Neurospora crassa OR74A: one gene and its partner. The protein of the gene in region 1 binds, or shares a complex with, the protein of each later gene. Links are inferred from orthologs where the notes say so. Each region holds a gene or a part of one and is shown in the gene's direction. Other genes may lie near its edges.

Region 1 (5,766 bases):
ATGACATGAGTTGGGTGGTGAGGTTCAACTTGTTGCCAGCAACACAAAGTCACAACGAAACAGCTGATTGCACGAATTGCCGGCAACAATGAGATAGCCATTGTATTTTGCCTAAAAACAACGTTCTTTGGGGAGAGAAACTACAACAACATCAGAGACCAAATCTCATCTCCTACGACCGAAAACCCGCTCAAGAAAAATACACCAAATTTGTAGCGGCAGCATGAGAGTTGAAATTGCCGTGCCCGCGATCGCGGCGCTCTGTTACAGGGCTTACTCCAAGAAGTCGTTGACACCCGGCGGCATCTTTGCTGCTCTCCTTACGGCCATCGCACACGCAGTTCACCCTTGGAATCTTCCCTTTGCTCTGCTCGTCGTGTTCTTCCTGGCGGGAACGCGGGTAACGCATGTAAGTCTGATGAAGCTCTACCCAGGGGCGGCACAAGTTAGGCGTGGACTTTGACAGCTAATATCGACATCTTTCCCCGGCTAGGTAAAGGAAAACGTCAAGGCCAAGCTCACAGTACACTCCAAGGGCACGTCCGGCGGCGAGGGCCCGAGAAATCACACCCAAGTGTTCGCCAACTCGCTCACGGCTTCCATCTTCTCTCTGCTCCACGCTTATCAGCTGCATGTGCGCAAGCAGACGCTGATCGCTAATCCCACCAGCACAGGGACCGGTAGCCTTTGCTTCTCCTGGGGCGGCGACTTGTTGGTGATTGGTATCATTGCCAATTATGCCTGTGTTGCGGCCGACACCTTTAGCTCCGAGCTGGGCATTCTGTCCAAGGGCGAGCCGCGCCTAATCACAAGCTGGAACTTGCGCAAGGTACCGCGTGGCACCAACGGCGGCGTTTCCCTCGTCGGTCTTGGCGCTGGCCTGTTGGGCAGCATGATCATCGTTACGGCGTCCATGCTTCTTCTGCCTCTTTGCACTGACGAGACGGCTACGAGACTTGGCGGTGCCGCGGGCTGGTCACTGGGACAGCGCCGCATGCTGATTCTCGGTCTCACGGTCTGGGGTTTTTTGGGCAGCGTTGTGGACAGCATTTTGGGCGGGCTCTTCCAGGCCAGTGTCAAGGATGTGCGTACGGGCAAGATTGTGGAGGGCGAGGGTGGCGTGAGGGTACTGGTTACCAACGCTACGAACCCCAACAACGTTGCCGGTCGGACTAAGGCTGAGATTAAGTCGTCTCTTCTGTCTGGCGAGGGGACGGATGCGGTGGAGGATGTCGGCGCCGCTGCCGGTAACAAGTACGATTCGCGCAACAAGCAGCGGAGGTCGAGCTTTGGAGACGAGAGGCCGTCGCGAGTGGTGGAGAACGGCTGGGACCTGCTTGATAACAATGATGTCAACTTCTTGATGGCATTCGGCATGAGCGTGGGAGCGATGGCCGTCGCATCATGGTATTGGGGAGTTCCTCTGCAGTCTGTGTTGTCGCCATGGTGGGCATAAGGCAGTCGCAGGTGGGTGGTGAATGACTTTCGCTAGAGATGTTGGCTAGCTAAACAATTCCATGGATGACATATGAGAGCTCAGTCGTCATTTTGATTACACATTCAGATCACGGCTTTGGGTGAAGCTTGGGCAGGTACCTTGCTCGCTATCCGGATGATGCTAACCAAAAGCCGGCGCGATTGACCATTGAGGTTCTCATTGTACCAAACATCCACAATTCAAGACCAGCGATCCGTACATGGGATCGAAGACCAGCCTGGCTTACAATTGAATCCTTTGGTATTCTATACACGAGAACGTTGTATACCTAGTCTTTGTAATTTCGACTTGCTACCATTTTGGGCCATAATGTGTGGTAGACACGTATAGGCGTACACAGGGCTTTTATCGGCCTTGTGACAATGGTCCTGTGACCGAGCCGGATGACCTCCCCTCGGCCAGCCAGGCGGTAGTAACGAAACATGAAGTAGGTACAGTAGCTGATGAATGATGGAACTTTCCGTCCGGCTCGGCAGCCCCGTTGTACCTAAGTTAAGGTGGCCGCTTTCCGGAGCGCTCTGACCCCGCGATGCTGCCGTTTGTCGTCCCTGCATCCTTCCAACTCCTCCACTAATTCCCCCATTCTTCACCCCAGATCCCCGCCCGACTCCTTCCACCCCGTTTTCCATTACACCATCTCTGGATTGTTGCCCCGCTGCAGTGTTCGCTTGTCCACTTCCTCCTATGGAACCTAACAGCTCCAACACCCACTTGATTGCCCGCTGCGCTGCCCGTCCACCGCGATTGCTGATTCTTGTCGGCTGACAACCGAACACCGACCGAATGCGCATCCGATACATGATGTTCTCCTGAACAAAGCAAGGCGGTACCTTACATCGACCGACGACGCTACAACACAGACAGCCCACCGAGCCTTGACTTGACGTCCCTAGCTTCATTAGCTCCAACCTCTTGGGTCTGTTCGCTCCCGCTCCCAGGATTCAATCGAGGGACCATCGCGGTTCCTCCATTGCCCATTCACCCTCTTCACCAGCCAGTCGGACGACATCTGGTCAGACGAAACGAACGACCTTCCATCCGCGATTCAGTGTCGTCCACTTGTGTTGCAAGCGACTCCGTCTGCCATGGCACAGGCCTACGATGACGAGGAGCTTTCCATCTCCTTGTCTCCTTCTCAGATCCGAAGTCGCAATAAGCGATCCGGCGATGGCGCATCAGGCTTCGGCCCCAGTACCGGCAACCTCCACGAATACGGTCAACACGGTCAGCAATTACACCCTAATATCAACGCCGTCATGGCCGACGCACCCCTCCGCGACAAGATGCGCACCGAGCAGCGCATCGGTGCCTATAACATTGTCAAGACGCTCGGCGAAGGCAGCTTCGGAAAGGTCAAGCTGGCTGTCCATCGCATGACCGGCCAGCAGGTCGCTCTCAAGATCATCGCCCGCAAGAAGCTCATCAGCCGCGACATGCAAGGTCGCGTAGAGCGCGAGATTGAGTATCTTCAATTGCTAAGGCATCCCCATATCATCAAGCTGTAAGGCACCCCTCGACGCCCATGCGCAGCAGACGTTGGCTCTGGTCCTTTACGTACACGTTGGCTAACCCGGCGCGCATACCAGGTACACCGTTATCAAAACACCAACCGAGATCATCATGGTGCTAGAGTATGCCGGCGGCGAATTGTTCGATTACATTGTTCAACATGGAAAGATGAAGGAGGACGAAGCCCGCCGCTTCTTTCAGCAGATGCTATGCGCCGTCGAATACTGTCATCGTCACAAGATCGTTCATCGCGACCTAAAGCCCGAAAACCTCTTGCTGGACGATAATCTCAATGTCAAAATTGCCGATTTTGGTCTTAGCAATATCATGACCGACGGTAATTTCCTCAAGACCAGCTGCGGCTCTCCCAATTACGCGGCTCCCGAGGTCATTGGCGGCAAGCTTTACGCAGGACCCGAAGTCGATGTCTGGAGTTGCGGTGTCATTCTTTACGTCCTACTCGTCGGGCGCCTCCCTTTCGACGACGAGCATATCCCCAGTCTTTTTGCCAAAATTGCGCGTGGAAGCTACATGGTGCCGACCTGGATGAGTCCCGGCGCGGCGTCACTAATCAAGAAGATGTTGGTTGTCAACCCTGTTCAACGTGCCACAATTGACGAAATCCGCCAGGACCCGTGGTTCCTCAAGGATCTGCCGGCTTACCTTCACCCTCCTGTTGAGGAGTTCCTCAATACTGGCGTGGACCCCAACAAGGCCATCAAGGTTAGCGACATTGCGCCAAATGCCCCTCCGCAGGAACAGGAGAAGTTGCATAATGAGGTCACGGAGAAGATCAGTAAAACCATGGGCTACGGCAAGAGAGATGTCGAAGAGGCCTTGGAGGCCGATGAACCCTCGGCCATCAAAGATGCCTACATGATCGTGCGTGAGAACAAGCTGATGCAGAGTAACCGTGAGTCTACGCTCCCTCCCAGCAAGTCTTTTGTCTTCTCATCATTGGAACCTATCGATCCCTTTGCGATGCTATACTCGTCCGTTTTGTCCTTCTTTCGCAGTTGATTTTGCCACGTCCCATCCTCCTTCGGCGTCCATTTTACACTTGCCTAGTGGTGAACATCGCTTGACGCAAAAAAAAAGCAAATCCTTGAGTTTGCGACCATCGTCCTTTTGGAGCAACACCAATGAGGAATACCAGGATACCCTACTAAAAACCGATGAAGAAATTCCAGGCCTCACGACAGAGGAGTCTGTCCCGAGTCCGCTCCATGACCCGAATATGTCATCAGCTCGCTCGATCGCATCCGTTAGCACAGCAACTTCACCGCGGCCATATGTCAGCAAGATCGGTATTTTGCCTAGCAGTCTTCCTACCTACCACAGGGTCTTTATGGAGCGAGAGAAGGCCAAGGCCGAAGGTCTTGAGCCCCCTGATGCCATCCCCACCATCGTTGAGCCGGCAAATCAGCCGCGCAGCCAAGCTGAACAAGAAGAGACTATCCGAAGACTCAAGCCACATTCGAGGAGTCAACTTCGCCTTGACGAGGCCAACAAGCGCCCACAAGGACTTACCCCCGTCCACCCGCCCAAGAAGAACAAGCCTGCTCGATGGCAATTTGGTATTCGATCCCGGAACGCTCCTTGGGAGGCGCTGGTGTGTATTTACAAGGCGCTAAACAAGCTTGGCGCTGGGTGGATTGTCGATGAAGACTACGAAAGAGCCCACCGGGACGATGACGACACTGATGACTATGATGGGCCTAGTATCGGGTCCCGCAAGAAGTCATCATCCAGCATGGATCCCACCAAGACATATAGACTTCCTGCGGACCCCTGGCATATCAAGATTCGGTGGACAACTGATAGTGAGTTTCCGGTCTGTCCGGCCCAAATGGCAAAGTTTGGCTAACATTGGCTGTCAGAGCTCAAAAAGCATTCGGTTGCCTCCGGCCTCAGCGAAGCAGGAGAGAACACGCATGTTAGCCGGGATGGCAGCGACAGCAAATACCAGGTTGTGGCCATGCGTATGGAGATTCAGATATACGAAATGGAGCACGGCGTCTATCTTGTCGATTTCAAGGTAGACGGGTACGAGACCCCCGATGGAAAGCTTCTAGAGGATAAGGAAGTCACGAGCCCCTTCCCCTTCCTTGATATGGCGGCCAAACTCATCATGCAGTTGGCAGACGCAGATTGAGGTGCCCCGACAATCAATTAATGGCTTGCGGTCGCTACGTTCATGCCTTTGGTTTTGTTTCACAGATTCCGTGCCTTCAGTTCTGGCTAATGCGTTGCTGATACCTTTGTACCCTTTGCATATACTTACCGCAGCCTACACTGTTGGACACCATCAACGAACATGACTAATGCTCCTTGACTTGCTGAACAGGAGGAAATATTCGCAGTACGGGTTGGGAAGATTATTTTACATGGAAGCAATTCGACAAACAAGATACGCCTACGTTTAGAGAGTATGGGGGCGGGCGTCACCTTTCTCTTCTATACCATGCTATGTCTCATCATGCACCAGCAGTCTTTTCATGGTCGAGTTTGTCAGTGCCAGACTGGCTTTGAAATCAGGCCTCTTTCCCTCTGTGGAGGAAGACACGGTATCACACATTCGTTCCGTTGGATTGGCATTAATGCTGCATCTACACATCTTGGGGATGCCTTGGGAGCGTGGAAGCTTCGTTTTTTCCCCCCCTTTTTTCCCCTATAAAGACATATCAGACTGCCCGTCATGATGTTGAAGGTTGGCATTAGAATGATCAAGCTATGGTGGTTGAACGCTATTTGGGATA
Region 2 (5,434 bases), about 3.0 Mb from region 1:
TTTTGGGGTTTCTGGGAGGGATTGTTGGGTTGCGTGAAGCAGCGGGACAGCGGAGAGGCTGGAAGGAATCACGGTCTTCACAAAGAGATGGAAGACGGGAACAAGCACAGAGAGGCCGCGCTATGTACCGAGGAGCACCGCTCACTCCACTCACTGCTTGGTTGCGAAATGGATGGAAGCACGACGGACACCTCACGGACAGACAATATGGATCACGCTGCCTTGCCCCCGGTGCTGCTGCCCTTCGTTGTTGTTAATCAATGCGAGCAAATCTGTTGAACAGGGACCGGCGGCAGAGGCATGAATGATGGGTGAGCGGCGTCGAAGCTGCCACTGCCTCGCAATCGCGCCCTGGCCACTGAGACCCGAATCACAGAGCGCACCATTACACATACACGGGCAGGGCAGCGAGGCAGCTTCCAGAGCCCGGGCGTCTGGGGGAAAAGTGGGTCGTGCGCTGAGGTGGCACCTGCGGTTGTGGATGCTCCTTGCGACTGGACCCGACCTAGGGTGCCACTGGATTTGATGTCATCACCACAACGACGACGCCATCCTCCATCCAGGCTTGCCAGGGACCCAAATTAGGGACGAAGGCGCGTAGAGTAGAAGATACTGTAGGTACCTACTTGGTGTTTCCATTGATGGGTTGCAATCATTCATTCCCTTTCTTTCTAGAGCTTTTGAGTCTTTGTCTTTGCCGAACAGCGGGTAGTATCTCCTGTCGGATCTTTCCACTCTCAATAGGTACTGTCCTCCAGTGTAGTATCCTGGTCCAGCCGCATCACAAGAACAAGTCACCTCACCCACTATCACAACCACACAGGCTGTGACTCTGTATACGGCAACTGAAGTGTACATGACCTTTGACCTTTCATTGTCTCCGACCCAAAGAATGTGTGGTGTCTCAGCACCAGGGAATACCCGATTCGTGTACTCTGTCGTACATACAAGGGAATTTGGGGGTCTACTAGGTTGTTAACGGATCTACCGGTCGCTGTGCCGTGTTTCGTTCAAGACGAAAAAGTGACTTGATGCAGTGACGACCGTTGAGTGTCAGTTAAGTTCGGAAGTAGCGTGGTGGTGTTAGATACGTATCTTGTCATCTCATTTCTTTGATCGCCATGCCACCCGGATTGATTTGTTTTCTTTAGGCCTGGGCACGTTTATGGAATCGTGGCACGTTAATGGCTTGCTTCAATTGGCCAGCTATATGACCATAAGGAGCTATAGGAGGTGGGCGTGAGCAGCCTGGCGTTGGTGAATGTTGACACAGCATGATGAACGTTCAACATCTGAAACATGGACATCGCTTCCCACATCTTATATTTGCAAAGACATCGGAGATCTTACTCCGCAAGACGCACGTTGCAGTTCTAGACACCTTATTCAGAACCACTGGAAGATATATTCTTGCTTTTACCATAGCCTATATGACCATGGCTTCCTCTCGCGAGAGGCTGGTAAGTTACTTTTGTTTTCCATTCAGCAACGGCTTTGAAGAGAGGACCCGGTTGGCTTTCATCACAGCACATAGTATCGAGATGGTTGGAGGGTACACAGGATAGAGGAGTTCAGAGCAGGAAGGGCATGTTCACTAAGGAGTAGTGATTGCCACTGTTCAAGTCAACTTTCATGTACTTGTTCCAGATTTGAAGCCGTTCAAAACACAACCTAGGAAGTGTATGATTTGCCAAGCGATGACACTCTCAACACACATTGTACATATCAAAGTGAAGAGCAACCTTTTAAAGATGTACAAGTATGTACGCCGGTCTCGGTCACGAATCAAAGGTCGAAAGAAGCTTTATCTACACGTGTGGGTCCTTATCGCTGCCCAGCACCTTGCACCAAAATTACCTGAGGGGTCGGGTCCGGGATTGCCTACCTAAACCAGACCGAAACACCCCATCGACGCCCGATAAACCTGGAATGGAACTGGAACCGGCCCAGCGCAAGCAGCAAGCATCCCCTCCTCCGTGACAGGCTCCATTGTTGTGTAGCGCTCTGGCAACCTAAGTGGAGGGAGAACTCGACTCCCTGGTCAACGCCGACTTCTGGCCCGCTCCGTCTACATTCAAGTGAACCACTGCTTTATAGTATCACCATCCCTTTCACTCTCGAGTATCCCGTCCATCACCGCCGAAACTGCCGTTGCGGTGAATCCACCATTTTGCCTCCGAACGGGTCGACCGAATACAACAAAGGAACGGCTAGATTCAGCTACCGTATTAATTCCCGTCCATCTTAGTGTAGTCGATTGCGCCCAAGTCCTCCTACTTGCGACGACTGCCACCTACCTCTAGGTCATCCAACTACGTGGTCGCTTCAACTTTCTTGCCCTTCTTTTTCCGTCTCTTGGCTCTCATCCAAACGACGCCCCTCCGCCTTCGTTACTTTGCACTTCGCGGTCGGCAGTTACACACAACTATTCACCTCTGTCAAATCCAATTGACGTCGAAAGCCGAGACCGCCCACGGATTCGGAACCAAGGGAACAGGACAGGACACGGTCAAGGGGCTGAAAGGAAGAGAGGGGATATCCAAGATATCAGTATAGAAACGGAGCCTTAATCACACCGGTTGAAAACTGTGGGTGGACGGCGCGTCCATACTCCGTCAACGGAAGCAAAGCTCCAAGTACCGGGCAAGACAGAACTGCAACGGGGGTCCTTCCCCAATGTATGTTCCACGACCGCGATAATGGACGACTCTTGTACTCCCCCTGACCAGGCGGCTTCTGGTACCGGCAGTGATGCCGCCGGTGTTTCTCCCCAGGCTTCCCAACCTTCCACAGCCTCAGCTGGGAACAGCAATACCGATCCCAATCTCAATGGCCCATTGACGCTCCGACCTGGTCACGAGCTGCCTTTCGTTGCGCCATCATCCTACCTTCGTCCCAAACCAAGCAGTCGCACAATGTCAGATAAGACGTCAAATCCCCTGGACAAGGACCAGATGCAGGGTCTGGTGAGCATCCCAATTCCGAGACAGCACACCCATAATATTCCCTACCATCAGTCCATTCTCCCTTGACTTCCATCCACATGAAAATTCCATGGCCCCAAGCTGCCGCTGCCAATCTAGTCCGGTTGAACTCTTCCGGCTCGGTTGGCCTCTATGCGAGATGCCGGCGTCCATGGCCCTAATCCTTGCTCATGATATGCCGTCGAAGGAGGCAGCTTGGCAGAAAAAGAAAAGAAAAGAAGAAGAGGAAAACCACAAGACACAATCAGCCTTTGTTCATGGGCTTGTCGCTGACTGACCATTGATGCAAACAGAGAGGTATTCGCGAGTTCCTCAAGGTCCGCACCAGTTACGATGTCTTGCCGCTCTCCTTCCGCCTAGTCATACTCGACAACGATCTCCTTATCAGGAAGAGCCTCAATATTCTGATCCAAAACGGTACGATTACAAGGCAAAACTAGCTTGGCCAGTGTGGTGATATTGTGATGCTGACCGTCCTCATTTAGGCATTGTCTCGGCACCGCTCTGGGACTCGCGCAACGGAACCTTTGCTGGCTTGCTTACTAGCACTGACTACATCAATGTCATCCAATATTACTGCCAGTTCCCCCACGAAATCGATCAAGTCGATCAATTTCGGCTGAGTAGCCTTCGAGGTGAGTGCCATCATCAGGGACTATCGAGGTCCTCTCTTGCGGGGCGTCAGGCTGACGAGTAATGCATGTAGATATCGAAAGGGCCATTGGTGTTCTGCCGCTCGAGACCGTATCTGTCCATCCCATGCGCCCATTGTACGAAGCCTGTCGACGAATGCTTAAAACGCGAGCTCGGAGAATTCCCTTGATCGACACGGACGACGAGACAGGCCGAGAGACTGTTGTCAGTGTTATCACACAATACCGCATCCTGAAGTTCATCGCGGTCAACAACGAGCAGCACACGATGTTGCTAAAGAAGCCCGTGAGGGAGATTGGCTTGGGAACCTACACCGACCTTGCTACGGCGAACATGAACAGCTCCGTTCTGGATGTCATTCACCTCATGGTCAAGTACAACATCTCGGCTGTGCCAATTGTCGACAAGGACAACAGAGTTATGAATCTATTTGAAGCCGTCGACGTCATACCCTGTATCAAAGGGGGTGCGTACGACGAGCTGACAGCGACTGTTGGCGACGCCTTGTCTCAGAGAGCTGAAGATTTCGGGGGCATTTACACGTGCAGCGAAGAGGATCGCCTGGACTCGATATTCGAAACCATCCGAAAGTCTCGAGTACATAGGTTAATTGTTGTTGACGATGACAGCCGCCTCAAGGGAATCATCTCTCTCTCGGATATCCTCAAATACGTATTGCTCTACGGCGAGGAAGAGGATGACCTACAGGAATATTAAAAGGGAACACGAAGAATGGGCGGCACTTGTCATGGCCTTAGGTTGGCTATAGGAAGGTATGGTTTTGTTTTGCATTGCATGGCGCTTTTGTTTTTGGAGGGTATGTCGAATCAGTGGAACACTAGGGTCGTATATTCTTACCTCCTCGATGGGCCATATAGATGGAATCTTCTCTCATCCTGGAACACGGCAAGAGGAGGTGCTGTTATTGCTGAACAATGGCTTACTAGTGGTCCTGCTCTAAAATTCCTCTTCCATTCCACCCTGCCCCGTACAGCACTGGATTGACGTGGTCACTTCGGTACTGTAGTGATGTTCAGGTAGTGGTGAGCATATTTACCTGCTTTGTAGATATGGATACCTAGGTATTTGAATGTTCAACTGACAACGAGGCAGGTCTAGATGAGAATGTGCTCGCCTTGAGTTTTAGCCAGCGCAATGGCGTCGGCCATAAATTACTATCTAGGTAGTTGTTAGGCAGTGTAGTAAGGTGACTCAGCGATGGTTGTGATTGTCATTTTTTGTTTCTTCCTCTGACACTTGGTCGCTTCGTTGCTTCCTTGGTTTCCCGTCTCTTCTATTCATTGCTCCACCTACCTCTTAGGTGGGTTATCAGTCTCATCGGGAAGGAACAGGTTGGACACAAAGAGCGACATGAGAATACGGGAAGCAGCAGTTTACGACAAACGACACGATGCGTCAATCCATGCTCTGGGCTTAAGTTTTCTAGAGGGCTTTCACAAAGCATCATCAGTTTGCAGTCACTTTGGATATCTTGTCGTACTATCGCCTCCCAGATACCTTCTTTTACTTGTTTCGACGTCTGTATATCCTCCAAAAGAACGAAGGCATGCAAAACTATCATTACGAAACCGACCGGACATCCGTTGCATCGGTCGGTGCGCCCTCAACCCCCAAGAGCCTCTTGCCCAGACGCGTACCCAAGAGAGGGCAGACAGATGAAAGGTCAAGTACATGGCGCGGTATCCCTCAATCCGCCACGGCAGGCCGACTTCCAGATCCTGTGGCATATAGGCGTGCGAGCAGAAGCAGTGCGACATGGACATCATCCAGTGGCG

Evidence for each region. The genes of interacting proteins can lie anywhere in the genome.
Region 2: the proteins of prk-10 (region 1) and NCU01471 are in contact, whole or in part, in a crystal structure (PDB 3T4N), measured with the Saccharomyces cerevisiae proteins. The link is inferred for Neurospora crassa OR74A from reciprocal best matches to the Saccharomyces cerevisiae genes SNF1 and SNF4. Residues at the interface, in NP_010765.3 of Saccharomyces cerevisiae: Ser465, Thr466, Val467, Ser468, Ile469, Leu470, Thr472, Ser473, Leu474, Pro475, Gln476, His478, Arg479, Met482, Ser487, Ala489, Ala490, Ile493, Ser494, Pro495, Leu496, Thr498, Lys499, Lys500, Ser501, Tyr550, Pro563, Gly588, Trp589, Ser608; in NP_011400.1 of Saccharomyces cerevisiae: Leu41, Val43, Leu58, Gln59, Ser61, Trp68, Ser70, Ser73, Phe75, Asp151, Gln152, Asp153, Glu154, Glu155, Thr156, Ile160, Met204, Leu232, Ile233, Asn234, Gly243, Lys246, Leu255, Gly258, Glu259, Leu261, Met262, Arg263, Arg264, Ser265.

What each region holds. Positions count from the first base shown.
Region 1 is NC_026505.1:1,659,250-1,665,015, reverse strand, and holds the start of prk-10 (protein kinase SNF1), read left to right. Parts: upstream 1-2,103; 5' UTR 2,104-2,583; coding exon 2,584-2,999; intron 3,000-3,084; coding exon 3,085-3,920; intron 3,921-4,188; coding exon 4,189-4,830; intron 4,831-4,887; coding exon 4,888-5,162; 3' UTR 5,163-5,766. Other genes in the region: NCU11040 (DUF92 domain-containing protein), read left to right, coding at 224-409, 494-1,456. UniProt on the Saccharomyces cerevisiae protein: Serine/threonine protein kinase essential for release from glucose repression.
Region 2 is NC_026505.1:4,628,246-4,633,679, reverse strand, and holds NCU01471 (nuclear protein SNF4), read left to right. Parts: upstream 1-1,880; 5' UTR 1,881-2,699; coding exon 2,700-2,966; intron 2,967-3,277; coding exon 3,278-3,401; intron 3,402-3,469; coding exon 3,470-3,619; intron 3,620-3,690; coding exon 3,691-4,355; 3' UTR 4,356-5,146; downstream 5,147-5,434. UniProt on the Saccharomyces cerevisiae protein: Adenine nucleotides-binding subunit gamma of AMP-activated protein kinase (AMPK), an energy sensor protein kinase that plays a key role in regulating cellular energy metabolism.